Anolis sagrei: one gene and its partners. The protein of the gene in region 1 interacts with the protein of each later gene in a pairwise test. Links are inferred from orthologs where the notes say so. Each region holds a gene or a part of one and is shown in the gene's direction. Other genes may lie near its edges.

Evidence for each region.
Region 2: the proteins of TEX11 (region 1) and ZNF414 interact in binary tests that used the Homo sapiens proteins (3 or more experiments, as listed by UniProt). The two-hybrid records come from large-scale screens. The link is inferred for Anolis sagrei from reciprocal best matches to the Homo sapiens genes TEX11 and ZNF414.
Region 3: the proteins of TEX11 (region 1) and ING3 interact in a two-hybrid assay, tested with the Homo sapiens proteins (2 studies listed by BioGRID). The two-hybrid records come from large-scale screens. The link is inferred for Anolis sagrei from reciprocal best matches to the Homo sapiens genes TEX11 and ING3.
Region 4: the proteins of TEX11 (region 1) and SNX7 interact in binary tests that used the Homo sapiens proteins (3 or more experiments, as listed by UniProt). The two-hybrid records come from large-scale screens. The link is inferred for Anolis sagrei from reciprocal best matches to the Homo sapiens genes TEX11 and SNX7.

What each region holds. Positions count from the first base shown.
Region 1 is NC_090030.1:21,732,845-21,740,047, reverse strand, and holds the start of TEX11 (testis-expressed protein 11), read left to right. Parts: upstream 1-4,201; coding exon 4,202-4,214; intron 4,215-6,272; coding exon 6,273-6,394; intron 6,395-7,203. Other genes in the region: nuclear cap-binding protein subunit 2, read right to left, coding at 118-204. UniProt on the Homo sapiens protein: Regulator of crossing-over during meiosis. Involved in initiation and/or maintenance of chromosome synapsis and formation of crossovers.
Region 2 is NC_090034.1:58,245,184-58,253,029, reverse strand, and holds the start of ZNF414 (zinc finger protein 414), read left to right. Parts: upstream 1-4,836; 5' UTR 4,837-4,893; coding exon 4,894-4,896; intron 4,897-7,846. UniProt on the Homo sapiens protein: May be involved in transcriptional regulation.
Region 3 is NC_090025.1:128,895,963-128,903,349, reverse strand, and holds the start of ING3 (inhibitor of growth protein 3), read left to right. Parts: upstream 1-4,375; 5' UTR 4,376-4,567; coding exon 4,568-4,595; intron 4,596-4,757; coding exon 4,758-4,829; intron 4,830-7,387. UniProt on the Homo sapiens protein: Component of the NuA4 histone acetyltransferase (HAT) complex which is involved in transcriptional activation of select genes principally by acetylation of nucleosomal histones H4 and H2A.
Region 4 is NC_090024.1:149,071,789-149,079,226, forward strand, and holds the start of SNX7 (sorting nexin-7), read left to right. Parts: upstream 1-4,436; 5' UTR 4,437-4,490; coding exon 4,491-4,586; intron 4,587-7,438. UniProt on the Homo sapiens protein: Involved in the regulation of endocytosis and in several stages of intracellular trafficking. Together with SNX4, involved in autophagosome assembly by regulating trafficking and recycling of phospholipid scramblase ATG9A.

The sequences.
Region 1 (7,203 bases):
TGCCTGCCATAGATGTGGGCGAAACGTCAGGAGAGAATGCTTCTGGAACATAGCCATACAGTCCGGAAAACCCACCACTACCCATCAAGGAAGCAAACAAGAGCCCCCTTCGCCCACCTTGAACTGCTGGTCTCTGTAGCAGCTGATCTCGCAGTACGAGTCGCTGTTGAGGCCGCTGAGAGTCGTGCTGAGGATGCTCGACATCTTGGGCCGCCGGTGATGGCGTCACTGGCCCTCCACCCGCCGTCGCAAAGAACACGGAGGAACCCATTGGCTCTCGCCGCTGTCGCTCAAAGCAAGCGCCCACCTTCGGTGACGTCACACCCAAGGGGGCGTTTCGCCTCACTTGCGAGGGGGCGGGGGAAGGGAGAGTAGGAGGGAGGTGTGTTTTCTCTCTGATTGGCCCGCGCGATAAAGTGGGCGGGGCGACGTTTAGGCGGGATTCTTATTAAACAGCTTCTTTCAAGGAGATGCCTCCATGTTGTTTTACCTCAGCCTGATCTGAGGTAATCCTGTACAGGAGCGCTTCAGTCAGAAAGTGGTTTAAATTTTAACATATGTATTTACAACACAACACACACAGAGGATTGTGTTAAAAAGGAGGTTATTTCCCCACCATCTGCTGAAAATCCCCTTTTTGGCCTTCACAACCACGAAATACACAACTCTCATTCGCTCTAGTAAACCAAATACTAATACAAAAGGGTTCAATGGGAAGTTTAAAAATATCCTTGATAGAGAAATACATAGTGTAAATGGAATAAAAAATAAACCTCAAATGTTAACAGAATTTCAGTCAGGAAATGCCTCAAAGCCCTGACTGAGTTAACCCAATTGACATAAATGCAAGAGCTACAACAACCATTTGCCAGCAAATATGGAAAACACAAGAATGGCCATCAGACTGGAAAAAATACACTTATATCCCCATACCAAAAAAGGAAAATGCGAAAGACTGCTCAAACTTCCGTACAGTGGCCCTTATTTCTCATGCCAGTAAGGTAATGCTCAAGATCCTGCAAGGAAGACTCCAGCAATACATGGAGAGAGAGTTGCCAGATGTTCAAGCTGGGTTTAGAAAAGGCAGAGGAACGAGAGACCAGATTGCCAATATCCGCTGGATAATGGAGAAAGGCAGGGAGTTTCAGAAAAACATCTACTTCTGCTTCATTGACTATTCTAAAGCCTTTGACTGTGTGGATCATAATAAATTGTGGCAAGTTCTTGGTGGGATGGGCATACCAAGCCACCTTGTCTCTCTCCTGAGGAATCTGTACAAGGACCAAGTCGCAACAGTCAGAACTGACCACGGAACAACAGACTGGTTCAAGATTAGGAAAGGCGTACGGCAAGGCTGCATACTCTCACCCAACCTTTTTAACTTGTATGCAGAACACATCATGCGATATGCGGGGCTTGATGAATGCAAAGCTGGGGTGAAAATTGCTGGAAGAAACATTAACAACCTCAGATATGCAGATGACACCACTCTGATGGCCGAAAGCGAGGAGGAGCTGAGGAGCCTTCTAATCAAGGTGAAAGAAGAAAGCGCAAAAGCCGGGTTGCAGCTAAACGTCAAAAAAACCAAGATTATGGCAACAAGAATGATTGACAACTGGAAAATAGAGGGAGAAACCGTGGAGGCCGTGACAGACTTTGTATTTCTAGGTGCAAAGATTACTGCAGATGCAGACTGTGGCCAGGAAATCAGAAGACGCTTCCTTCTTGGGAGGAGAGCAATGTCCAGTCTCGATAAAATAGTAAAGAGTAGAGACATCAGACTGGCAACAAAGATCCATTGCCTAGTCAAAGCCTTGGTATTCCCTGTAGTAACCTACGGATGTGAGAGCTGGACCTTAGGGAAGGCTGAGCGAAGGAAGATCGATGCTTTTGAGCTGTGGTGTTGGAGGAAAGTGCTGAGAGTGCCTTGGACTGCGAGAAGATCCAACCAGTCCATCCTCCAGGAAATAAAGCCCAACTGCTCACTGGAGGGAAAGATACTAGAGACAAAGTTGAAGTACTTTGGCCACATCATGAGGAGACAGGAAAGCCTAGAGAAGACAATTATGCTGGGGAAAGTGGAAGGCAAAAGGAAGAGGGGCCGACCAAGGGCAAGATGGATGGATGGCATCCTTGAAGTGACTGGACTGACCTTGAGGGAGCTGGGGGTGGTAACGGCCGACAGGGAGCTCTGGCGTAGGCTGGTCCATGAGGTCACGAAGAGTCGGAGACGACTGAACGAATGAACAACAACACAACAACCATTATAAAATGGAGGATTTCTGCATTGTTATTCACACAGATACAGAGTCGACATTATACATACATACATACATATATATATATATACACACACACACACACTTTTATGTCCACCCATCATTGTTTAGAACACTATTTATTTACTTATTTACTTCATTTATATACTGCTTTTCTCAGCCCTCAGGCAACTCAAAGCGGTTAACAACAGCAAAACTCAATGCAAAACATCATAAAACAATTATGGGACAGTTAAAACAATAGCATCATCAACAGTTAAACATCAATATAACAATCATTAGCGTCTCCCACTCCCCCAATGAAACAATTGATTCATTTGTTTCTGAAACAATGTCTATTGCACTTCAAAACATACAGAAATGTGACAAAATGGCAAAAGAAACCAAAAACAAGCATTTGATCCAATTGACATAAAATTGTAGCAAGATGGGATTGGCAACTCCACTCAAATAATGATAATTTCTTCTTCAAAATGCATGCATTTGCTTTGTCTTCAAAATAATTATCATAGCGACTATTTGCTATTGAAGGCTGCATTGTTTTGTGTCTCTGTATGGTCATTGAATATATACATATATATATATATTTATATATATTCACACATATGTGTGTGTATATATATATATATATCTCTCTAACAGGGAGGCGGGTAATACATTCATTATTATTATTATCTAGCAAAGAGAGGTAGATAACAAATGCATTATTATTATATCTATAGCAGGGAGAGTTGGATAATAAATGTATTATTATAATATCTATATATCTAGCTGGGAGAAGCAAGTAATACATTCATTTATTCTTATTTTTATTATTATTATATCAATATTTAGCTGGGAGAGGCAGATAACAAATTTATTACTATTATTGTTTACTATTATTTCTATATATCTTGGAGGGAGAGGCAGATAACACATTCATTATTATTATTATTATTATTATTATATCTATAGCAGGAAGAGGCAAGCAATAAAGTCACAATTATAATATCTATATATCTAACAGAGAGAGGCAGGTAACAAATTTATTATTATTATATCTAGATCTATAACTAGCAGGAAGAGACAGTTAATAAATTTATTATTGTTATTATAATTATATTATCTATATCTAGCAGGGAGAGGTAGGTAACAAATGCATTATTATTATTATATCTGTACCTATTAGGAAGAGGCAGGTAGCTTTTTTATTAATACTATTATTAATATTATTATATTTATATATCTAGCAGGGAGAGGCAGGGAATAAATTCATTATTATTGTTGTTATAGCTATATATCTAGAAGGAAGAGGTGGGTAATAAATGCATTCTTCTTATTATTATTTTATCTATATCTAGTAGGGAGAGGCGGGTAACAAATTCATCGTCGTCGTCGTCGTCATTATATCTATATCAAGTAGGTAAAGGCAGCAATAAATTCATTATTATTATTATTGTATCTAGTAGAGAGATGATGATTATGATGATAATAATCATCATCATTATTACTGTATTATTATATCTATATCTATGGAGCTTCATATGTGAAGAAACCTATGTTGTTGAAATATTTATCTTCTGCCTTCAACCCTTTTATGAGTCTTGCCAAAACAGCTGCCTAATTCAACATTAACAGAGAAAAACAAATTAATTAAAATTACTTTAGAGATGTCTTTGGAAAGATAATAATAATAATAATAATAATAATAATAATAATAATAATAATGATAATATATTTGCTTTGTTACTGGCCTCTTCTCATGAGCCAAAGTTACATAGTTAAAATAAAAAACATAAGGTCGTTAAAATACAGATATGAAATGGCAAAGGGTACAATCAAGAACAGTAGGCAAAACAAGTGGATAAACATGCTAATGTTATTTCTTTTTCATTTCAAAGGTGTTCCTTTTGCGAATCGAATCCTGAAGAGGAAAACAGATCATGGAAATCAAAGGTGCAAAATATCAAATACTTTCTGTTCTGCATATGAATGTGGCAAGAAATCTGTGAGAGGGGGGTCGGGAAACTCCAAAGTATAATTATTACTTTAATTAGAGAGTCTATTTTTGTATGAAACAAAGAAAGCAAAGAGGATCAGCCGCAAAAAAATGAATATTGGGTGACAGGATATATTATTATCTCTTCTCACCGAATGCACTTTGCAAGGAAACAGAACACTTCGGTTACACTGAATTTGATGCAGTTGTCGCACACTCATTGTAGTATTGTAGTTCATGACTTGTGGTAACTTTTATCCAGCACAAAGTGTTTCAGGAACAAAAAAAACCCTCATTCTTCATCAGGTTCGAGTCTAAAAATCTCACATTTTCCATTCCCACTTATTCTTCCTGATCTCTTGCTGGCTCCTTAAAACATCTGTGTTATATTTGAATAGAGAATGATGATAGGAAGAACATGACGTATCATTCACCATCAACAAATGACAACAACCGTCATGTCAGAAAGCTCAGAAGCTGAAGCTTTGGACCCAGATTCACTGTCTGTGTCTCTTTATGACAAAAGAAAACCAAACGTGTCACAAAAAAGATGGAAAAAGCTCCGGGAACATAATTTTGAGTAAAGTTGGAGAATGGTAGCATTAATTATCACAAAGTTGTGATCAAAGTTTATTTAATACTATTATTATTATTATTATTATTATTATTCGCCTTTCTTCATGGCTCGAGGTGCATTACAACATAGCTAAAAACATATAAACATCTTAATCATTCTATAAAATACACATATTAAAACACTTAATTTGTATGTAGAGTTCTAAGTTTTATAGGGTTTGTTATTACATCGAACCACAAGGAGAAGCGGGTAAGAAATAAATTATTATTATTATTATTATTAGATGCATAACAAGAATGGTACACAGCAAACGAGATCACTATGCTGGCTTTTGTATTTGATCACATGTACAACACTTCCCAAGTGTCTAAGACTGTGTGATGTATTGCCAAATAATGCGCGCAGATCCGAGTAGGGTGACCTTTTGCAGCTGACAGATGGTAATTTTGTCAGTGCCAATTGTTTTTAAATGCAGGCCAAGGTCTTTAGGCACTGCACCCAGTGTGCCAATCACCACTGGGATCACCTTTACTGGCTTGTGCCAGAGTCGTTGTCGCCATTGTCGTCGTCTTCTTCTTCTTCTTCTTCTTCTTCTTCTTCTTCTTCCTCTTCTTCTTCTTCCTCTTCTTCTCCTTCTCCTTCTCCTTCTCCTTCTCCTCCTCCTCCTCCTCCTCCTCCTCCTCCTCCTCCTCCTCCTCACTTATAAAGCATAGGATCCACATGAAAATGTCATTATTCCCTCATTGATAAATGGCAAATTCCCCAAGATTTGTTCTTCCTCTTCCTCCTTGTCTTTATCTTCTTCTTCGTGTGAATACTATTGTCGTTATCACTATTGATATTATTTATATTGTTATTATTTTAACAATTTCTTCCTTAGTACTTCAGCTATCTTTTTGTCCTTTTGGTTTCCTCTTGCATTGTGTTCATGTCCTTTGGAAGCTTGTTTAGACCAATATATTCATGGCCTTTGAGTGTTCCTCCATCTGAATAAATAGGAGCTTGCTTTTGGAATAATAATAATTATATGTCAAAAGGAGGGTATCAGGGTTTTAGAGAGGCTTAGGAGGGACAGGGCCACAAAAATTGTTGTGAACCATTGCTCAAAGCCATGTTCTACAATTTTTTTAAAAGGCTCATAGTATAGCATTGATCATTAATATGTTTTAATATTAAATGATGAAAAGTTGGGATACCTTAAATTTTTCAGATTTTCTAGGTACGGTACTTAACCCTAGAATGTCCAAGTCTTCATGCAACGTGTTTCCTTTTAAAGGTTTCTTTTGTTGTTTCCTCCAATGTGCTTGGTTTCTTGTTTGTTTCCTGTTTGTTTTGAAAGTTAGAAAATGTAAACAGGCTGGTTTGTTTGAAAATGATACATTGCCTTGAAAGCTACTGTATAACTTACTTTGGCTTTTGTTGTTGCTTTTAATTGCAGAGCTCATTGAAAAACTGATGAGCAGCAAAGCCTCATCTGATGTACAAGAAGACACTGAGAAGCTGTTCAGGGATATAGAACAAGTGAATAAAAAAAGTATAAATGAGAGGGAGAAGGCCCAGGTACAAATAGTACAAACATTGGTAAAGATCTCTGAATGTGAGCATGGCGATGAATGAATGTTTATATGTGTTTGAATACTGAGGAAATGTAATTTCCCTTTTTGTACCAAGTTAGCTATAGAATCTGCATGTGTCTACCTTCTTTCTTTGTAGTATACTCTGTCTCATTGTGAATGAAAGGAAATAACCTTTTGAATGCTTCTTAAAGTTTTTAAAAAAGTATTTGTGACATGGTATAGACACACCCTTGCTGTGTAGATTCTAACCACACAGAATGAGGGAAATGGCTTTTTCTCTTGGTTATTTGGTGAAATATTGAATGCCATACTTTCCTTTCAATATGCTTTAAAACCTTTCAGAAAAATAAAACTGGTTCTGAAAAGCAACTGAATAATGAGGTTTTTCTGGTGAGATCAGCTCGCCCACCTCCTTCCTGTCCTTCAGAAGGATAGTAAAAATTGGTTGTGGACCCAGTTTTCAGGACAGTGCAATAAAGCAGGGACAGGAAACCTTACCAGGCCAATTAGATTAGACACAGATGATCAAGACGGTTTTAAACAGTGTATTTTAATATTGAGACAAATGTTTTTAATGTTTATGTATGCCTATAATGAATTAATGTCCCAGTATTGAATGTTTGCCGTTTGTATGTTGTGCTCCGCCCTGAGTTCCCTTCGGGGTGAGAAGGGCAGAATATAAATGTTGTAAATAAATAAATAAACGATTCAGTGCCCCGTTATTATTGTTATTGTTATTATTAATAGTGTTATTCACTTCTCCTCGAGGTTCGAGGTTGGGTACATCATTGC
Region 2 (7,846 bases), on another chromosome or scaffold:
TCCGAACAGTCTTAAAAGGCAACCCCACGTAGAGTGCGTTGCAGTAATCTATTTGGGATGTAACAAGAGCGTGGACCACTGTGGCCATGTATTGTGTTCATCCATCGACTAAACTGTGGAGCTGTGTCTTGTGTTCTATATACTAAAAAAAATTATAAATCTCCCATAGTAGATGATCTCTGGTAAGAAGACATTTTTGGCTTAATTTAGTATCCACATTCGTTCCAAATTGGCTACAAAAAGATTAGCTAATGAAGGGGTTAATGGGCTGCCCATCGTCATAGACCCAAAGCACATGTAGTGAATATGAGAAAATCAAGAAAAAAATATTAGGCTAGATTGACATGCATTCACTTTATTGGATTACATGAAGAGAAATATGATTCCTAGGGGATTAAGTGTGGACAAAACCCTGGGGATGTTCCAAGGTGATAACCACTTTCATTAACAATTGGAACTCAATGTTGAACAAATGCTCCTTAGTCTTGATGGTTTTAAATATCCAGAAATCCAATTCACTTACAAAAGGAATATGAAAACAAATTACATTTACTTGTCATAATAATAAACAAGAGATTACTTTCCTTGATGTCACAGTGTACAAGACACAAACAACTTAAGGGTAAGGAATTACTGGAAAGCCACTGATAAGAATTCAGTCATGCACTTACGCCAGTTTCCATCATCATAGGCTAAAAACAAACCTTCCTTATTCTCAACTCATGAGACTAAAACACAATTCCAGCTCCCCCAAAGATCTGGATTGAGAAATTTGTACCTTTAAGAAGCAATTCAAAGATAGAGGTTATCCCTCCAAGATTCTAAATATAGCCATTCGGAAAGTTAATCATAGAGATAGAACTCACCTTTTAAAAGGTTCGCCAAAATCACCATGAAAAGAAACAAAATCTGGCTACCAAAAAACCCCAAAAAACACCAGAAAAACACCAGAATCAAGACAAGTAAATAAGGAACACCATTCAGAAGCAGGAGAACTCCAGACAACAAATAACCAAGTGCCAGTGAACACCTCCTAAACAGAGGATGCCTCCAGGCATAACAGCCAAGCTACCGCTATGCAAATGCCTTCACTGATTGACTTTGCAAACTTCATGGCTACTCAATAATATTCAAGCTTACTAATTGCAACATTCACACTTACTTCAGAAAGACAAGGGTTCTTTCTCCCACCCTGGACATTATTCCACAGGTGTGTGTGTGTGTATATGTATATGTATATGTATATAAAAAAATGTAATGTTCGTTTGTGGGATTAACAGAACTCAAAAACCAGTGGGTGAATTGACACCAACTGTGGACAGCATACACCTAACAACCCAATGTATGTCCTTCACTCAATTTTTTTTTGATTTTGTCATTTGGGAGTTGTACTTGTTGGGATTTATAGTTCACCTACAGTCAAAGAGCATTCTGAGCTCCACCAATGATGGGACTGAACCAAAGGTGACACACAGGACTCCCATGAGCAACAGAAAACACTAGAAGGGTTTGGTGGGCATTGACCTTGAGTTTTGGAGTTGTAGTTTACCTCCATCCAGAGACCACTATGGACTCAAACAATGATGGATTTGGACCAAACTTGGTACAAATACTCCAAATGCCCAAATATGAACACAGATGGCCTTTGGGGAAAATAGACCTTGACATTTGGGAGTTGTAGTTGCTGGGATTTATAGTTCACCTTCAATGAAAGAGCATTTTGAACCCCACCAACAACAGAATTGAACCAAACTTCCCACACAGAACCCCCATGACCAACAGAAAACACACTAAAACAGTGGATGTGGCTCTTAATGAGACATGCCGCATTATCACGGGGTGTCTGCGCTCTACACCACTGGAGAAATGACACTGCTTAGCTGGTATTGCACCACCTGACATCTGCTGGGAAGTAGCAGCCAATAGTAAAAGGACCAAGGCAGAGACATCTCCAGCTCGTCCCCTGTTTGGGTATCAGCCAGCACGTCAACGACTTAAATCAAGACATAGTTTTCTTAGATCTACTACACTCGCTGGAACATCTCAGCAAGCGAGAGTCCAAAAGTGGCAGGCCCAAACCCAGCACCTCAATCCGTGGGTGATACCAGATGAGAGACTCCCTCCTGGGCACATAGAGGACTGGGCGACTTGGAAGGCGCTGAACAGACTGAGCTCTGGCACCCCGAGATGCAGAGCCAACCTTCAGAAATGGGGCTACAAAGTTGAATCCACAGCATGCGAGTGTGGAGAAGAGCAAACCACAGACCACCTGCTGCAATGCAATCTGAGCCTTGCTACTTGCACAATGGAGGACCTTCTTGCGGCAACTCCAGAGGCACTCCATGTGGCCAGATACTGGTCAAAGGACATTTAATCAACTACCAAGTTTGCAAAATCTGTGGGTTTTTTTAATCTGTTTGTTTGTTTTGTTCTGTTAGAAATGTAATACAATGGGATGGTTGCTGATGACACGATAAATAAAAATCTTCTATCATATTAAAGTAAAGGTAGTCCAGTCATGTCTGACTCTGGGGTGTGGTGCTCATCTCCATTTCTAAGCCGAAGAGCCAGCGTTGTCCATAGACACCTCCAAGGTCATGTGGCCGGCATTGACTGTATGGAGTGCCGTTACCTTCCCGCCGGAGCGGTACCTATTGATCTACTCACATTTGCATGTTTTCGAACTGCTAGGTTGGCAGAAGCTAGGACTGACAGCGGAAGCTCACGCCGCTCCCCGGAATCAAACCTGCGACCTTTCGATCAACAAGCTCAGCAGCTCAGTGCTTTAACCCACTGCGCCACCGGGGGCTCCATATATATATTATCTTCTAACTTCTATCATATTAGTTATTATTATATTACTTGTAATAGTATTATATACCCAGCTGTGGCCACTTGGGGTGCTGTGTCCCTCCAGCCAGTTTCACATCTGCGCATGCGCTGCTGCTAGTTCGCCTCCACGCTGGGGTCTGTTTAGATTGGAAAAAGCCCTGCTGTTCCCACCACGGCCGCTGGGAGCGCTGTGACTTTCCTGCCAGTTTCCCTTCTGCGCCAGTTTCACCACGCCGGTGCTTGTTCGCCTATACCGTGGGGTAGATTGAGAAAAGCCCTGCAGCTCCCATTTCAGCCGCTGGGAGCGCTGTGACTTTCCTGCCAGTTTCCCTTCTGCGCTGGTTCGCCTTCACGCTATTTATTTATCGTGTCATCAGCAACCATTGTATTACAATTCTAACAGAGCAAAACAAACACACAAATTAAAAAGAAAAAGGAAAAAAACACACAGATTTTGCAAGCTTGGTAGTTGATTAGATGTCCTTTGACCAGTATCTGGCCACTTGGAGTGCCTCTGGGGTTGCCGCAAGAAGGTCCTCCATGGTGCATGTGGCAGGGCTCAGGTTGCATTGCAGCAGGTGGTCAGTGGTTTGCTCTTCTCCGCACCCGCATGCCGAGGATTCCACTTTGGCTCTGCATCTCGTGGTGCCAGAGCGCAGTCTGTTCAATGCCTTCCAAGTCGCCCAGTCCTCTATGTGCCCAGGGGGGAGTCTCTCATCTGGTATCACCCATGAATTGAGGTGCTTAGTTTGGGCCTGCCACTTTTGGACTCTCGCTTGCTGGGGTGTTCCAGCGAGTGTCTCTGTAGATCTAAGAAAACTATGTCTAGATTTAAGTCGTTGACGTGCTGGCTGATACCCAAACAGGGGATGAGCTGGAGATTTCACTGCCTTGGTCCTTTCACTATTGGCTGCCACTTCCCAGCAGATGTCAGGTGGTGCAATACCGGCTAAGCAGTGTAATTTCTCCAGTGGTGTGGGGCGCAGACACCCCGTGATAATGCGGCATGTCTCATTAAGAACCACATCTACCGTTTTAGTGTGGTGAGATGTGTTCCACACTGGGCATGCGTACTCAGCAGCAGATTAGCATAGCGCAAGGGCAGATGCAGGCATGTAGCCGGGGGGGGGGGGGGGGGGGGCTCGGGGGGCTTCAACCCCCCCCGAAATTCTCATGGTGGTTCGCGAAAAGGCCTTACTGGTGCATTATTTAAACTGTTATGTTTATTCATATCATGATCTGATCACCATACTCAATATATCCCATATGCATGGAGGAGGTATTGGGGTAATGATACAAAAGGTTTGCTAGGGTAGACCCTCTTTCACTCAGACTCAGCCCCCCCTGAAACTCAGCCCCCCCCGAACCCCCCCTGAAAAAAATTCACACACCCCCCCCAAATGAAATCCTGGCTACGGGCCTGGGCTGATGTCTTCACTGTGTCTGGTTGTGATCCCCAGGTTGTGCCAGTCAGCTTTCGTATGATGTTGTTTCTAGCGCCCACTTTTTGCTTGATGTTCAGGCAGTGCTTCTTGTAGGTCAGAGCACGGTCCAAAGTGACTCCCAGGTATTTGGGTGTGTTGCAATGCTCCAGTGGGATTCCTTCCCAGGTGATCCTCAGAGCTCGGGATGCTTGTCTGTTCTTAAGGTGAAAGGCGCATGTCTGTGTTTTATATGGATTAGGGATCAGTTGGTTGTCCCTGTAATAGGCAGTAAGAGCACCTAGAGCTTCGGAGAGCTTCTGTTCAACCATCTCAAAGCTCCTTGCTTGAGCGGTAATGGCACGATCATCAGCATAGATGAAACTCTCATTAAGAGCCTTCACGCTAGGGTCTGTTTAGTAAAAGCCCTGTCGTTCCCGCCGCGGCCGCTGGGAGCGCTGTGTCCCTCCTGCCTGTTTCCCTTCAGCGCATGCGCTGAAGCTACTCCGCTTCCACGCTGTGTTCTATTTAGATTGGGAAAAAAACCGCCATTCCTGCTTCGACCTTTTGAGGCGCTGTTTCTATTCCTCCAGCCACTTCCGGTTCCCCTCATCCTCCTCATTCGACGCTGGAGAGAACCATGGTGAGCCCCCTTTTTCTCACTTGGGGCCTTGGAACCCCCTTTGCCTCGCTTGAGGGCACCCTAAACTTCTGTGATACACGCAAGAATGGCCCCTTCACACGTTCACGGGCGAAGTTGCGTGTCACGAACTTGAGGCCTCTCCCATTGAACTCTATGGGAAGGGGGGAGGAGTCAACGCATATTCATTATTAGCCATTTGTTATTGTTTATGATTTGCACGATTGTTATGCTCCTATTAATAGCACTGTGATGGTTCTTATTACTTCTATTATTTCTATTATCATGATGACTGCTATTAATACTTCTGTTGTTATTATTCCTACCTTTATTGTTAGTATGAATTCTGCTGCCAGATTATTCCCTTTGTTATTATTAGCAGTTATGATTCTGATTAATCTAACTGCTATTAATACTGTTATGGTTATAATTCCTATATTGTTGGTATTAATGCTGCTATATTATTCCTATTATTATTATTACCAGTATTATTATTTTTTATTGCTATCAGTACTGCTATTGTATTGTCGAAGGCTTTCATGGCCGGAATCACTGGGTTGTTGTAGGTTTTTTCGGGCTGTATGGCCATGTTCTAGAGGCATTTTCTCCTGACGTTTCGCCTGCATCTATGGCAAGCATCCTCAGAGGTAGTGAGGTCTGTTGGAACTAGGAAAAAGAGTTTATATATCTAGGTTATTGTGGGTTTTTTCGGGCTATAGAGCCATGTTCTAGAGGCATTCTCTCCTGACGTTTCGCCTGCATCTATGGCAAGCATCCTCAGAGGTAGTGAGGTCTGTTGGAACTAGGAAAAAGAGTTTATATATCTAGGTTATTGTGGGTTTTTTCAGGCTATAGAGCCATGTTCTAGAGGCATTCTCTCCTGACGTTTCGCCTGCATCTATGGCAAGCATCCTCAGAGGTAGTGAGGTCTGTTGGAAATAGGAAAAAGGGTTTATATATCTAGGTTCTTGTGGGTTTTTTCAGGCTATAGAGCCATGTTCTAGAGGCATTCTCTCCTGACGTTTCGCCTGCATCTATGGCAAGCATCCTCAGAGGTAGTGTGGTCTGTTGGAACTAGGAAAAAGAGTTTATATATCTAGGTTCTTGTGGGTTTTTTTCGGGCTATATGGCCATGTTCTAGAGGCATTCTCTCCTGACGTTTCGCCTGCATCTATGGCAAGCATCCTCAGAGGTAGTGAGGTCTGTAGGAACTAGGAAAAAGGGTTTATATATCTAGGTTCTTGTGGGTTTTTTCGAGCTATAGGGCCATGTTCTAAAGGCATTTCTCCTGACGTTTCGCCTGCATCTATGGCAAGCATCCTCAGAGGTAGTGAGAATGCCTGACTACCTCTGAGGATGCTTGCCATAGATGCAGGCGAAACGTCAGGAGAAAAATTGCCTCCAGAACATGGCTCTATAGCCCGAAAAAACCCACAAGAACCTAGTGATTCCAGCCATGAAAGCCTTCGACAATACATTGAACATCTCTACGGTTTATATATCTGTGGAATGATCAGGGTGAGACAAAGGAGACAAAGCTCCAGCAGACAAGAGTCCTTTGTCTCACCCTGGTCATTCCACAGATATATAAACCCCTTTTTCCTAGTTCCAACAGACCTCACTACCTCTGAGGATGCTTGCCATAGATGCAGGCGAAACGTCAGGAGAGAATGCCTCTAGAACATGGCCATACAGCCCAAAACAACCTACAACAACCCAGTACTGTTATTGCTATCATTCTTATATTTATTGTTGAAGTTAACACTGCTGTCGTATTATTATTATTATTATTATTATTGGTGTTATTATTATTATTGTTATTATTGCTATTAGTGCTGCTGTTTTGAGATGGTTTTAAACATCTGATTTAAAGTAGATGTAACTGTTTTTAGTGTTTGTGTATATTTATAGTTATTTTATGTTCCGGCATGGAATGCTTGTCGATAATATGGTGAGTCCCCTTCGGGGTGAGAAGACGGAATATAAATGTAATCAATAATAAATATAGAAATAATAACAGTAGCAGCACTAATAGCATTAGGAATATAATAATTGTAACACTGATAATAATAGTCATACTTAATAATGGATAGTAATGGATGGCACTTGGCCTCTCTTCCAACTCTAGGATTGTATGATTTTATCCATCGTACATAACCATCCATCCATTTGTTTATTTTAGGAACGGATGGACCTTGAGCTCTTTTCCAACTCTAGGATTCTGTGATATTATTAGTCCATCTTTCTGTCCGTCCTTCCATCCATCTATCTCTCCATCCATCCTTCCATCTATCCATCCATCTGTCTAACCATCCATTTTAGGACTTGATGACTCTTGAGCTGTGTTCCAACTCTAGGATTGTATGATTCTGTCTGTCTATCTATCTATTTATCTATCTATCAGGGTTGGACTGGGTAGCCCTTGGGCTCTTTTCCAACTGTAGGATTTTGTGATTTTATCTGTCCATCCATCTGTCCATCTTAGGACTTGATGACTCTTGAGCTGTGTTCCAACTCGATGATTGTATGATTCTTTCTGTCTGTCTGTCTATCTAGTTTTCTATCAGGGTTGGACTGGATGGCCCTTGGGCTCTTTTCCAACTGTAGGATTCTGTGATTCCAACTGTAGATGCATGGATGGCTCTCTCCATCCATGCATCCAGCCATCTCTCCATCTATCCCTCCATCCTTTAATCTGTCCAACCATCTTAGGACTTAATGGCTCTAGGATTGTTTGATTCTCTCTATCTACGAGGTTGGACTGGATGGCCCTTGGGCTCTTTTCCAACTGTAGGATTCTGTGATTCCAACTGTAGATGCATGGATGGCTCTCTCCATCCATGCATCCAGCCATCTCTCCATCTATCCCTCCATCCATCTATCCCTCCATCCTTTAATCTGTCCAACCATCTTAGGACTTAATGGCTCTAGGATTGTTTGATTCTCTCTGTCT
Region 3 (7,387 bases), on another chromosome or scaffold:
TCCACCCCCTTTTCTAATAACTTTAGTATTCACCGGTGTAGCTTTCCTATTTTATCTATCACCCTGGCTTTATTCTTAACAATTGTATTAACTGTGGAGCGAGGTACGCCTAGTTTGCGGCCCATGTCACTCATGGACATGCTTCCCTCACCAAGTTTGATTAGGTCTAGCTTTTCTTGCAAATTGAGAACTCTATGGGATCTTTTAGCTTTATCACTGCCCTTAGCTGCCATGATGTATTCTAATACTGTAAGAGACTCACTGGCCATGATGTCAAAAGCAGCACAGGCTGAATAGAGAGTGAAGGAATACTACCCACCTCATAGGCACTGATTGAATGAGCAAAAATGGCATAGAGGGAAATAGTATCAAACAGCACTTGATCTGTTGTAAGCAAGTCTCGCTTAAACACCTTTCTCCCTCTTTTAGCTTATTTTGTAAGTAACTCATGCAAACAGCTGATGCTTATACATACAAATAGTTCAAAGCAACCTCCATAGTTGCATTGAACTGTTTGTGAGAACACTGCTTTTTAAACTGTGGGTCCCAACCCCAAATGAGAACCCTTGAGTTCAATGTTGAGGTCACAAAAAATGGCAACCGGAAAACGTTCCTGAATACCATTTAGACAAATCTGTTAGCATCAATGTATAGTGTTTGCAGCAGGCTGCAGAAAACGCTTCAGCTTGTTTAGAAAGCCTTGCAAGTGCTGATTGCAAATGCGTAGAAGAGGCATGGATCCTTTAGTTGTTGGGGGGAAATGAAGCTCTGAGCACTTCAGGAAATGCCAAATGGTTGGCCATGGAGCATCAAGAAGCCAGCGGCACCACAGAAACATTTGGGAAGTGTGTGGCATTGCACTGCAGCGGCTTCAGGATGCAAGGAGTGGAACAAGCCAAAGTCCAGCTAATGGCTAAACTCCAGTGGCCACCAAAGTGCAAGAGGGAAAAGAATGCTTGCAAAAGTAGTGTGTCCTGCTGAGGCTTCCAGCCAACTCCTTTCCTGGTCCAACCTCTTTGCTGCTTGGCCTCTCACAAACTTGTTCAGAATTACAGTAAACAAATGCGTCTGCACTCGCTCATCCCTTTTTGGTTCATTCCGGCTTTTTATTCCACAGATATATAACCTACACATCAAAAAGTGGGGTATTGTATGTACAGCTATACCTCCCTTTAGACTGCTAACATATACCAGGTCCCTTGGGCTATATTTCTCAGGAAGGAACTGGCAAAAGCACCTGTGAGGTCCCTTCCATACAGCTGTATAAAATCCCAATTGAACAGTGTGGATTCTGATACCCAGTTCAAAGCAGATATTGTGGATTAAGTGCTGTAATAATCTGGATTATATGGCAATGTAGAAGGGGTCTGAATCTCCTTGTGGGTGTGAGTATTCCTTGCTTAAGAAAAAACCCCATGAAATTCATGATGTGGTCGTAAGTCGACAGACAACTTGAAGGTAAATATACTTGAGTGTTTTGTGAGACTTTCCACTTGTAAATTCCCCATGTTTTTCCACTTCTACTCCTTCTTCTGTATTTCTTCTTGCAAAAGTCTGTGGGCTTTTCCACACAGCCCTTTATCCCAGGATATCAAGACAGAAAATCCCACATTATCAGAGTGTGGACTCAGATAACCCAGTTCAAAGCAGATATTGCAGATAATCCACAATATATGCCCTGGGTTATCTGAGTTTACACTGCCACATAATCCAGTTCAATGTGGATTTTATACAGTTGTGTGGAAGGGGCCTACGATAATCCAGCTCAAAGCATCAACTGCTGCTCTGGGCCAGAATGAAGAGAGAGGGGACCAGGGGACAGTTCCATCTTGTCTCCTGCATATGTCATCAGTTGGGAACCCCTCCTCCCAACACCAACTGCTGCTCTGGGCCAGAGAGAGGGGGCCAGGGGCCAGCTCCACCTTGTCTCCTGTACTATGCTTATAATATAATGTAATATAATGTAATATAATATATTGTATATACATATAATATTTATATTATAATGTAATGCAATGCAATATATGATAATAATATGATATTATAATTATATATTTATATGACATGTAATATTACAAATGATATTACAATATAATGGTATAGTACAATATAGTAATATTTAATACTGATATTGTACTGCGAGGAGGAGCTGAGGAGCCTTCTAACCAAGGTGAAAGAAAGCGCAAAAGCTGGGTTGCGGCTAAACATTAAAAAAAACCAAGATTGCAGCAACAAGAATGATTGATAACTGAGAAATAGAGGGAGAAAACGTGGAGGCCGTGACAGACTTTGTATTTCTAGGTGCAAAGCTGACTGCAGATGCAGACTGCAGCCAGGAAATCAGGAGATGCTTACTTCTTGGGAGGAGCGCAATGACCAATCTCAATAAAATAATGAAGAGTAGAGACATCACACTGGCAACAAAGATCCACATAGTTAAAGCAATGGCATTCCCCATAGTCACCTACGGATGTGAGAGCTGGACTTTAGGGAAGGCTGAGCGAAGGAAGATAGATGCTTTTGAACTGTGATGTTGGAGGAAAGTTCTGAGAGTGTCTTGGACCACCAGAAGATCCAACCAGTCCATACTTCAGGAAATAAAGCCTGACTGCTCATTGGAGGGAAAGATATTAGAGGCAAAGATGAAGTACTTTGGCCACATAATGAGAAGACAGGAAAGCTTAGAGAAGACAATTATGTTGGGAAAATGGAAGGAAAAAGGAAGAGGGGCCAACCAAGGGCAAGATGGATGGATGGTATCCTTGAAGTGACTGGCTTGACTTTGAAGGAGCTGGGGGTGGTGATGGCCAACAGGGAGCTCTGGCGTGGGCTGGTCCATGAGGTCACGAGGAGTCGGAAATGAATGAACGAATGAACAACAACAATATATATGCTCTGTGCATAATGAGTACCTTAAAAACAAAAGAACTAATGAACAAAATCACACCAAATTTGGCAACAAAATGTCTTACAACACAAGGAGTGACCATCACTCAAAACATTATGATTTTGTCATTTGAGAGTTGTAGTTGCTGGGATTTATAGTTCACCTATAATCATAGAGCATTCTGAACTCCACTAACGATGAAATTGAACCAAACTTGGCACACAGGACTCCCCTGACCAACAGAAAACACCAGAAGAGTTTGAGAGTTGTAGTTCACCTACATCTAGAGAGCACTGTGGACTCAAACTGTGATGGATCTGGACCAAACTTGGCACGAATACGCAATATGCCCAAATATAAACACAGATGGAGTTTGAGGGAAATAGACCTTGACCTTTGGGAGTTGTAGTTACTGGGATTTATAGTTCACCTACAATCAAAGAGCATTCTGAACCCCACTAACGACAGAATTGGGACAAACCTCCCACACAGAACCCCCACGACCAACAGAAAATACTTAAGGCCATCCAGTCCAACTCCTTTCACCAGGGCAAGAAAACGTAATCAAAGCCCTCCTGACAAAGACCCATCCAGCCATAGATAGGACATAGTTCTTTTAAAATTTTTATTTTGCACTGCCTTTATGTTTAAATGCACTTTAATGTTTTTGCTTTATTAATGTATGTATTTATGGCATCAAAGTGTGCCGACTGTGTATACCGCCCTGAGTCGCCTCTGGGCTGATATAGGCGGGATAGAAACAATGTAAATAAATAAATAATAGATATATGACTCTCTCTCACACAGATATAGTATAATAGATTCGAAAGGGATCCTTAAAGAAGGACAATTATATGTTGCATGTTCCAGAGTAGGCAAATCAGACACTCTCCACATCAACACTGTTTACCCACAAGCATAACGAAATTACATATATTAGAAACCAACTTTCTCATTACTTTATTTTCCAGATCACCAGACTGGGCCACAGCAACGCGTGGCTGGGGACAGCTAGTATGATATATTGCATGTATATATACCTTGTAAGCCGCTTTGAGTTCCCTTCAGGGTGAGAAGGGCGGCATATAAATGTCGCAAATAAATAAATAAATAATGTGGATTTTTTGTTTTGCTAACGTGAATTACCTGGCAGTGAAGAAGGGGCCTAAGAGCTCCTTAAGTTTTGAAACCTGCAGCTGCCTTGGTTTACCTCAGTACAACCTCACAGGAGTTCAGAGAGTCACACAGTACTTCTAAATGAGCATGCACGGTATTATTTTGAGAAGTTTCCTCGGCTCAGCTCACACACGAACAACTTTCCCTTGTAACTCGAATCCAAAAGGCGAGTTTCCTCCTTCTTTCTTCTTTAGCGGGATGCAGGACTCTGCCGAAACTACGTTTCCCAGAGAGCAACGGGAGAGGCGCGAGCCGCCCGGCCTACGTCAGAGGCGCCAGGAGCCAATCGCGTGGCGGCCGAAGCCGGAGCGTCATCCGCCAATGTTGTTTTCGCTGAGTCGAGCCGCTGGTGTCGTTGGCGGTGCCGGCGCCATATTGGAAGGGACGAGGCGGTGGTTGGCGTTTTTTTTTCCCTTTCACCCCACCCAAAACTCCCCTCTTCGCTCGCCGCTGAAACAACCGAGACCCTCTTAAGCCACGGGCCTCTCCGCCGCCGCCGCCACCATGCTGTACTTGGAGGACTACCTCGAAAGTGAGTCGTTGGAAGCGAGGGAGGGAGGGGGGCGCTAGGCCCGAAGAAGGGAGGGGCGAGAGAGAGAGAGCGCGGAGGGAGCGTAGGCTCCGCCCCTCGCTCCGCCCCCTCTATTCTTCCCTGCCTTGACTGACTCGCTCTTTCTCCCCTCCCTCCCCGCAGTGATTGAACAACTTCCCATGGATCTCCGCGACAGGTTCACCGAGATGCGCGAGATGGACCTGCAGGTGCAGAGTACGTGAGCGGGCTCCGCCCACTGTCCGCCATGCGTGTTGATTGACGTGGTGTGGGCGGCGCTTAATCCTAGTTCCTCTCCCCCCGCCCTTCTCTTATGCAAAAGGGAAAGCTGAGCCTGGAGCGAGTGTTTTCCAGAGTAACCATTAAGTCAGCTCTATTGGAGTCTCTGTGTATTTATTGTTTATCTTGTCAGAAGTGAATTGAAAACACAGTTATAATGTATATAAAAAAAAACACAAACAAAGTTTTAAAAAACCGCAACATAGTTAAACACAGAATTTAAAATAAACACAAAAGCTTGGCATTATACAAAATTTCCCTGGCCACTTGGAGTGCCTCTGGTGTCTCTGTTAAGGGATCCTCCAGTGTGCATTTGGCAGCACTCAGACTGCATTGTAGTAGGTGATTTCTTCTCCATCCTTGCATGTTGTGGACTCCACTTCATAGCCCCATTTCTTTTTCCCCCATGTCTTTTTTTTATTGCCGAAACAGGTAGAATAACATCACAATCCACCAACATTTTTAAATATTGAAATACATAATGAATACATATCACATATTGTTTCATAGTGATCTTATCAATCCCATCTTTACCTCTCCCTTGTGTCTAATGATTTTACACCCCTCACCTCCTTCCCCCACCTCCAGGAAACAGTACTTAGCCCCATTTCCTAAGGTTGGCTCTGCATCTCATGGTGCCAGAGCAGGATCCGTTCAGTGCCTTCCAAGTCACCCAGTCTTCTGTGTGCTCAGGAGGGAGTTTCTTACTCAATTCCAGCCACTGATTGAAGTTCTCAGTTTTAACCTGCCACTTTTGGACTCTCACATGCTGAAGTGTTATAGAATCAGAGTTGGAAGAGACCTCATGGGCCATCCAGTCCATCTCCCTGCCAAGAAGCAGAAAAAATTGCATTCAAAGCACACCGAGAGAGTATCTCTATAGATCTTAGAAAACGATTGTTAGGCATCAATTAGCTGCCTAGTTGTAAGCTGTTTTGAGTCACCTTCAGGTTCGAGAAAGGCAGGATAGAAATTTCATAAATAAATAAATAAATATTTCTTTATTTAATTCGTTGGCATGCTGGCTAATATCCAAGCAGAGAATGGGCCTTGGTCCTTTCATTGATGGCTGCTGCTTCCCAACGGATATCAAGTGGTGCAGTGGTGCAGTATAATTTATCCAGCGGTATAATTTATCCAGCGGTATTGGGCATAAACTTCCTGTGATAATGTGGCATGTCTCATTAAGAGCCACCTCCACTATTTTAACTTGGTGAGATGTATTCCACACTGGGCATGCGTATTCAGCAGCAGAGTAGCAAAGCGCAAGAGCAGATGTCTTCACTGTATCTAATTGTGATCCTCAAGTTGTGCCAGATTTCGTATGATATTATTTCTAGCACCCACTTTTTGCTTGATAGTCTGGCAGTGCTTCTTATAAGTCAGAACACAGTCCAGAATGACTCCCTGGTATTTTTGTATGCTGCAGTGCTCCAATGGGATTCCTTTTCAGACAGTTCTCAGAGCTCGAGATGCTTGTCTGTTCTTAAGATGAAAAGTACATGTCTGCATTTTGGATGAATTAGGAATCAGATGGTTTTCCCTGTAATAAGCAGTAAGAGCACCTAAAGCTTTGAAGAGCTGTTCAACCATTTCAAAGTGCCCTGCTTGAGCAGTGGCATGATCGTCAGCATAGATGAAATTCTCTGTCCCTTCTGCAGTCGCTGATGATTAGTGTAAATGTTAAACATTGATGGAGTAAGCACACTCCCCTGAGGCAAGTTGTTCTCTCTGTTAATATATCTTGAGTATTCCTTATCCGAAATGCTTGGGACAAGCAAATGTCCTGGGATTTGGATTATTTTGGAATCCCTGTATACATATGTATATGTAATGAGAAATTTTGGAAATAGGACTCAAGTCTAAATAAACACTGAATTTTTTTAGACATTATACCCACATAGCCTGAAGATAATTTTATGCACAGTGTTTAAAATATTTTGTGCTGAAACCAAATTTATGTACATTGAAATGTATGTACATTTATGTTCGAAAGCACAAGTATCACTATCTCAGCCACCCAGGTGGACAATTTTGAACTTATCCCTCAAAACCAGAAGTGTCTCGGATTTCAGATTATTTTGGAACACCTGTGTGTACCTAATGAGATATCTTAGATATGGAACTGAAGTCTAAACACAAAATTCATTTATTTATAACATTTTAAATTTTAAATAATTAAATAAAATGTGTGTACAGCTCAGAATCTCAGCTATTCATGTAGACAGGGAGGGGAATAGAAAAATTAACAGCACCTTTAAGGTGAACTGGTTTTTATTTTAATATTACCGTAGCTTTTGTAGATATCTCACATCTTTTCAGTTTTACATCTGAAGAGTTGATTGATATCCATGAACAGTCATGCTAAAATAAAAGTCTTGTAAATACTACTAGGTTTTTCCATTTCCCCCCTTTTCCTTTTTTAATTCATTTAGAAAGTGGGCATTGTCTAGGTTATATTATTACCAAATACAAATCATGAGTCTTAGCACTTA
Region 4 (7,438 bases), on another chromosome or scaffold:
AATTATCTAAGTGGTTGTTTTGATAGAGCTATCTGAACAAATGTTTTGCAAGGCTAGGGCAGATAAAGATCCTTGTTTAAAGCCACAGAAAAGTAGCCTAGGAATATAGAGCGAGGGGGGGGGGTCCCCCCTCATTGAGTCCAAAAGAATGTGCAAACCCTCCCAAAATACTTTAGGGGGCACGTAGCACAATTTTCCATTTCCCTTTCTTTCTCAGCTGTTTTAAACCCAACTGACTTCTGACTCACTTAATATTGAAGAGATTATATACTAGCTTGGGGACCTGGCAATGCTCCAGTTATTCAAAAAAGTATTGTTTGTTTTGGGGTTTTAGGTAATATCACTTTGCAGGCCCGTAGCCAGGATTTTGATTGGGGGGGGGGGGGGAGAGTGAGTTTGATTCGGGGGGCTGAGTCTGAGTGAAAGAGGGTCTACCCTAGCAAACCTTTTGTATCATTACCCCAATACTCCCATGCATATGGGATATATTGAGCATGGTGATCAGATCATGATATGAATAAACATAACAGTTTAAATAATGTACCAGTAAGGCCGCTTTTGTTTGTTATGAATGCTCCCATTAGAAAATTCATAAGTGGGTGAACTACAATTCCCAAAATCATGGGTCTATCCTTCCCAAACTCCAACAGTATTCATAGTTAGCCATGTTGGGTCTGTGTGCCAAATTTGGTCGAGATCCAACATTGGCTGGGTTCAGTGCTCTCTGGATTAGGGTGAACTACAACTCCCAGATCCAAGGTCAATCACACCCTAACCCTGCCTGTATGAACAGTTGGCCATGTTGAATCTGCGTGCCAAGTTTGTTCCAGATCTGATGTCAGCTGGGGGTTCAGTGTGTTCTCTCACTGCAGGGTAAACTACAACTCCCACTATGGTGAGTCAGTCCCCTTAAACCCTCCCAGTAGGTCTGGCCAAGTTTGGTCCAGATTAGTCATTGGCGGAGGTCACAGTTTCTCTGGTTGTGGGTGAACTACTACTTCCAGAAAGGAAGGTTAGTTCCCCCCGCCCCTAAACCCCTCCAGTAATCAAATTTCGGCATATGAGGTATGTGTGCCAAGGTTGGTCCAGATCCACCAGTGTTTGAGTTCACAGTGCTCTCTGGATGTAGGTGAACTTCAACTCCCCCAAATCAAGGTGAATTTTCCCCCAAGACCTCCAGTATGTTTGCTGGTCATTGGGGCTCTATGCGCCAAGTTTAATCCAATTCCATTTTGGTGGAGTTCAGAGTGCTCATAGATTGCAGGTGAACTATAAACCCCAGTACCTACAACTCTAAACAGTCCAGGCCAGTTCCCCTCAAAACTCACCAGTATTCAAATTTGGGCATATCAGGTATGCATGCCAAGTTTGGCTCAGATCTATATGTGTTTGAGTTTATAGTGCACTCTGGATGTAAGTGAACTACAACTCCCAGAACTCCCTCCAAAGACCTCCAGTGTTTTTTATTGATCATGGGGGTTCTGTGTGCCAAGTTTGTTCCAGTTCTATCGTTGGTAGGGTTCAGACTGCAGTTCTTAGATTGCAGGTGAACTATGCATCCCAGTACCTACAATTCCTATAAGTCATAGTGCATTCTCCCCAAACCTCTCTAGTATGTTCAGTTGCTGATCGATTCCTCTGTTTTCTGTGTGCCATAGAAAAGAATAGGAAAGGGTTAAGGGAGAGGCAGTGGGTGGGGTTAAGCAAATTTCACACCATTGGTGAGAGTAAGAAACACTAGGATGCCTGTGGTGGAGGAAACACATCAAAACTAGGGTGAATTAGTCCCTGAATGAAAGCTTTTACTTGGGTGGTGGGAAGTGTGGTTTTGGTGAAGGACATTGGCAGGGCTCTTGCACATTTTCATGGTACTCGTTGTAACCTGTAATGTTATTGGAGGAAGGCCTATTGGTATCTCCTGTATAGTGACAGCAATAGCTGTTTGTGGAGGTGGGAGCTTGTCTGTGTAAGGGGACACCCCAGTCACATACACACATGCATATTTTCAGTTTTATTGTGTCTAGATAGATAGAGTAAAATAATAAAATCCATAGAATAACAGATAATTGAATGCCTTTCCTGCCAATGAATACTATTGGCAGGAAAGGCTTTCAATTATGTGTTATTCTATGGATTTTATGTTGCTGGCTATATTTCAGAGGAAGGTAGTAGCAAAACTACCACTGGGTATCCCTTGCCTAAGAAAATCCATAGAGTCACCATGAGTTGACAGATGACTTGAAAGTATATAAGGACACAGTCACAAGACACTACTGGGATTTTAAAAAAATCTAATGGCAGAAAAAGAGGAAGCAGAAAGACACGCTCTATCCTTCCTACAAAGAGAGTTTCAGCCACCAAGAAGATCCTCACACTGTGCTTATCATACCTGGTGGTGGATTTATATTTGGGGACAAATGCTACCCTCAAAACAATGATCAAGAGATAGTACATAGATCCTTCATTGGCAGCTGGAGAAGTGGTTTCACTGATTGTGAGGCATTCCAAAAAAATAAAAAGCTTGAAAATGTGTGTCAGCCATCCTTAAATCCTAGAGGTGAGTGCTTCATTTATTCAGAAATACTGCAGATAGCATCAACTGAGGCCTGAGCTATGCAAGGGTTTTAAAAATGTTGCCATTGGCACTCTATAAATGCAATGTTGCATCCTTTAGTTCCCAGCTAATCACTTGGAAAAATGGAGATACACACATTCCTGTGTCAGCCATGCACTTTGGTTGGGTAAAGCCGTGCTTCTGTCAGGAAGACTAATCTCCAATTTAGTACATAGAAGAAACTGAGCAAAAAAAAAGTGTCACTTTCATGTAGCAGAATAAAAAATCTAATCATTGGAGCCTCCGGTGGTGCAGTGGGTTAAACTGCTGAGCTGCTGAACTTGCTTATCGAAAGGTCGCAGGTTCGAATCCGGGGAGCGGTGTGAGCTCCCACTGTTAGCCCTGGTTTCTGCCAACCTAGAAAACATGCAAATGTGAGTAGATCAATAGGTACCGCTCTGGCGGGAAGGTAACAGTGCTCCATGCAGTCATGCTGGCCACATGACCTTGGAGGCATCTACGGACAATGCCAGCTCTTCAGCTTAGAATTGAAGTGAGCACCAACCCCCAGAGTTGGATATGACTGGACTTAATGTCATGGGGAAACTTTTACCTTTACCTTCTAATATCTACCTTACAGAAAAGTTGGATTTTGCATGGAATAATTTCAGGACATTTCCTTGGGTTGTTTATTGGGAAGGTTTGTGGGGTTATTTTGGGTGCTGATTCAGAAAATTGCATTGGATGGACCACAACAAATCTAGATTATTAAATATGGTTTTCTGTGGGTGAGCAGATGGCAACTACTGGATAGCATATATTCTGTATCAGAAATTAGAGCTGATGTGGTCTATCCAATACAATTTTCTGAATTAGTGCCTCAAATAATCCCACAAAGTTGACCAAAAACTGATTCAGTCTTTTGGTACTAATGTTGGAGGGCGGTCCCTGGCCAAAGTAATCCCTGGTCAAAATGGTCCCTGGTCAAAGTGGTCCCTGGTCCAAGTAGTGGTCCCTGGTCATAGTGGTCCCTGGTCCAAGTAGTGGTCCCTGGTCATAGTGGTCCCTGGTTAAAATGGTTCCTGGTCAAAGTGGTCCCTGATCAGAGTGGTCCTTGGTCAAAGTGATCCCTGGTCAAAATGGTCCTTGGTCAAAGTGGTCCCTGGTCCAAGTAGTGGTCCCTGGTCATAGTGGTCCCTCGTTACAATGGTTCCTGGTCAAAGTGGTTCCTGGTTAAAATGGCTCCTGGTCAAAGTGGTCCCTGGTCAGAGTGGTCTTTGGTCAAAGTGATCCCTGGTCAAAATGGCCCCTGCTTCAAAGTGGTTCCTGGTCAAAGTGGTCCCTGGTCTAAGTGGTCCCTGGTCAAAGGTCAAAGTGGTCCCTGGTCAAAGTGGTCCCTGGTCAATGTGCTCTCTGGTCCCTGATCAAAGTAGTTCCTGATCAAAGTGGTTCCTGGTCAAAAAAAAAGGTTGGAAACCACTGATACAGAGGGATGAGTTCTACTTTCATTTCAGTCTGAAGAAAGCCAATGAGGCAGCTGGAAAGAAGAAAGAGAGGCGTTTTAAAGTAAGCTAGGAAAGTAAGATTGCAAAGCATTAAGCAGGATTGCTCCTCCTAAACTAGAGAAGAGTAGGCTGGGACCAACTCGTCAAGTCTGGATCTCTCCCCCCGCCCCCGCTTTCCAAAGCGACCCTCCAAAGTGGGAATTGGGGGCGGTTTCGCGGACTCCATCCCCTCTTCCTTCCCTCCCTCCCTCCCCCGCCATTCCTGGCTCTTTCCCCTCCTTCCCTCGCTTCTTTCCTTCCCAGCCGCGCAGGAAAGGGAAGGCGAAGCGAGGAGGCGACCAATAGCCAAGGCGAGAGGAGGGGCTCCAACCGGGGATCGCCCTCCTCCTCCTCCTCCTCCTCCAAGAGGGAGATCCAGCGAGGGGAAGGCGATGGAGCCCGAGGGCGGCGGCGACGTGGCGGGGGACTCGGCTGCCCCGCTGCTCCTGGACTTGGACGACGACGAGGACCTGGAAGTATTCAGCAAGGTATTCACTAGGGGAATGAGAAAGGGGGTCGCAGGTCTGCGTGGGCTTTCCACTCCCGTTTGGGAAGAAACAGGCGCCTGGAGTGCCCTACGGGGAAGCAGGAGAGTCTCTCCGCCCGTGGAGCTTTTCCACGCCTAGCCATGGGGGCGAAATGGCTCTGCCCTCGTTCCCAGCATCGCCAAGGAGCTCCTCCTTGAAGATCCCGCACCCCTGTGCCTTAAGCTTCCTCTGGACACGAAAACACACAAACAAACCTAGAGTTCCCCCTCCGTCTGCGGGACAGAAGTTTCCCAAGCGCTTCAAAATCCGCCTGCCTCGGCACGCCTTCCTCGTTGCTTTTCTCTGTCTGTGGCTTTCCCTCGCCTGTCGATTTAGGGCAAGTCTTTCATAGACTCCTCAACTTGGAAGAGACCGCAAGAGAAAGGCCGGTCCACCCCCATTCTGCCAGGCAGGAAGACACCACCAAAGCACGCCCCACACAACCTGCTTTTCAAAACAGCCGAAGACAGGTTCAAAGGCAGTGCATTCCACTGTCAAACACCTCCATGCGGAAGTCCTTCCCAACGTTTAGGGAGAATCTCTTTCCCTGCAGTGTGAATCAATTCCTCCCTTCCCTAGTTTCAACAGCAGCAGAAAATAAGCTTGCCCCTTCCAAGCTTATTAAAGTGCCCATAGGGTTTTCTTGTGTGTGTGTGTGTGTGGGCCTCCAGTCATCTGATGATGATGATGATGATGACAACGATGACGATGACTCTGGCACAAGCCAGCAAAGGTGGTCCCAGTGGTGATCAGCACACTGGGTGCACTGCCTAAAGACCTTGGCTTGCACTTAAGCACAATAGGCACTGACAAAATTACCAGCTGCCAGCTGCAAAAGGCCACCTTAGTGGGATCTGCACACATTATTCACCAATACATCACACAGTCCTAGACACTTGGGAAGTGTCCGACGTGTGATCCAATGCAACAGCCAACAGAGTGTCTGCTGTGGACTCATCTTGTTGTGTTTCAAATAATAATCTATATATATATAAATGCTCTGTGCATAATGAGTACCTTAAAAACAAAACAAAAAACAATGAACGAAATCACACCTAATTTTGCAACAAAACATCTCACAATACAAGGAGTGACCATCACTCAAAAACTTATGATTTTGTCATTTGGGAGTTGTATTTGCTGGGATTTATAGTTCACCTACAATCAAAGGGCATTCTGAACTCCACTAACGATGGAATTGAACCAAACTTGGCACACAGGACTTCCAAGACCAACAGAAAACACTAGAAAGTTTTGGTGGGCATTGACCTTGAGTTTGAGAGTTGTAGTTCACCTACATCCAGAGAACACTTTGGACTCAAACAATGACGGGTCTGGACCAAACTGGGCATGAATGTTCTATATGTCCAAATATGAACACAGATGAAGTTTGGGGGAAATAGACCTTGATATTTGGGAGTTGTAGTTACTGGGATTTATAGTTCACCTACAATCAAAGAGCATTCTGAACCCCACCAACGACCGAATTGTGGCAAACTTCCCACACAGAACCTCCATGACCAACAGAAAATACTTAAGGCCATCCAGTCCAACTCCCTTCACCAGGGCAAGAAGACATAATCAAAGCACTCCTGACAGCCATCCAGCCATACATATACATAGATATATATGATTCACACACACACACACACACAGATATAGTATCATAGATTTGAAAGGGACCCCTAAAGAAGGACAATGATATGTTGCATGTTCCAGAGTAGGCAAACCAGACAATCTTCACATCAACACTGACAAAGAAACAACAAGAAATACTGTTTACTCACAAGCATATAGAAATTACATATATTAGAATCCAACACTTTCTCATTACTTTATTTTCCAGATCATCAAACTGGGCCACGGCAACGCGTGGCAGGGGACAGCTAGTAATAATAATAATAATGACTTACTTTCGTATCACAAAATAACAAGCTGAACACTTCCCAAGCATTTCGGACTGTGTGATATATTTTCAAATGATATGCACAGATCCAAGTAAGGTGGCCTTTTGCAGTTGACAGATCATGATTTTGTCAATGTTTATTGTTTCCAAATGCCAACTGAGATCTCGAAATCCAGCATATATATCTCGTTTGTTGTGTCATACTATATTTTTGTGTCAGTAAAATAATGGTTTACTACACCTGGAATACTGTGTCCAATTCTGGGCATCACAATTGATGAGAGATATTAACAAGCTGGAATGTGTCCAGAGGAGGGCGACTAAATTGATCAAGGGTCTGGAGAACAAGCCCTATGAGGAGCGACTTAAAGAGCTGGGCATATTTAGCCTGCAGAAGAGAAGACTGAGAGGAGACATGATGAGAGATAATATGTGAGAGGAGGTCATAGGGTGGAGAGAGAAAGCTTGTCTTCTGCTGCCCTGGAGACTGGGACACAGAACAATGGCTTCAAATGACAGGAAAGCAGATTCCACCTGAACATTAGGAAGATCTTCCTGACTGTGAGAGCTGTTCAGCAGTGGAACTCTTTGCCCCGAAGTCTGGTGGAGGCTCCTTCTTTGGGGGCTTTTAAACAGAGGCTGGATGGCTATCTATTGGGGGGGGGGGGGGGCTTTGAATGCGATTGTCCTGCTTCTTGGCAAGGGACTGGATGACCCATGAAGTCTCTTCCAACTCGATGATTCTATTTGTAGTGTGCTCATGGCTGAGGGCGGACGCACCAGCTTGGTGTACAGCTTTCCCTGGCTGGGATACAACCCTGGAGAGCAGAAGTTTGCACCACAGTCTGTGAGCATTGTTAGACATCCACCTCTGTCCACAAGCTCAATATGAGCAGGCTGGCCAAAA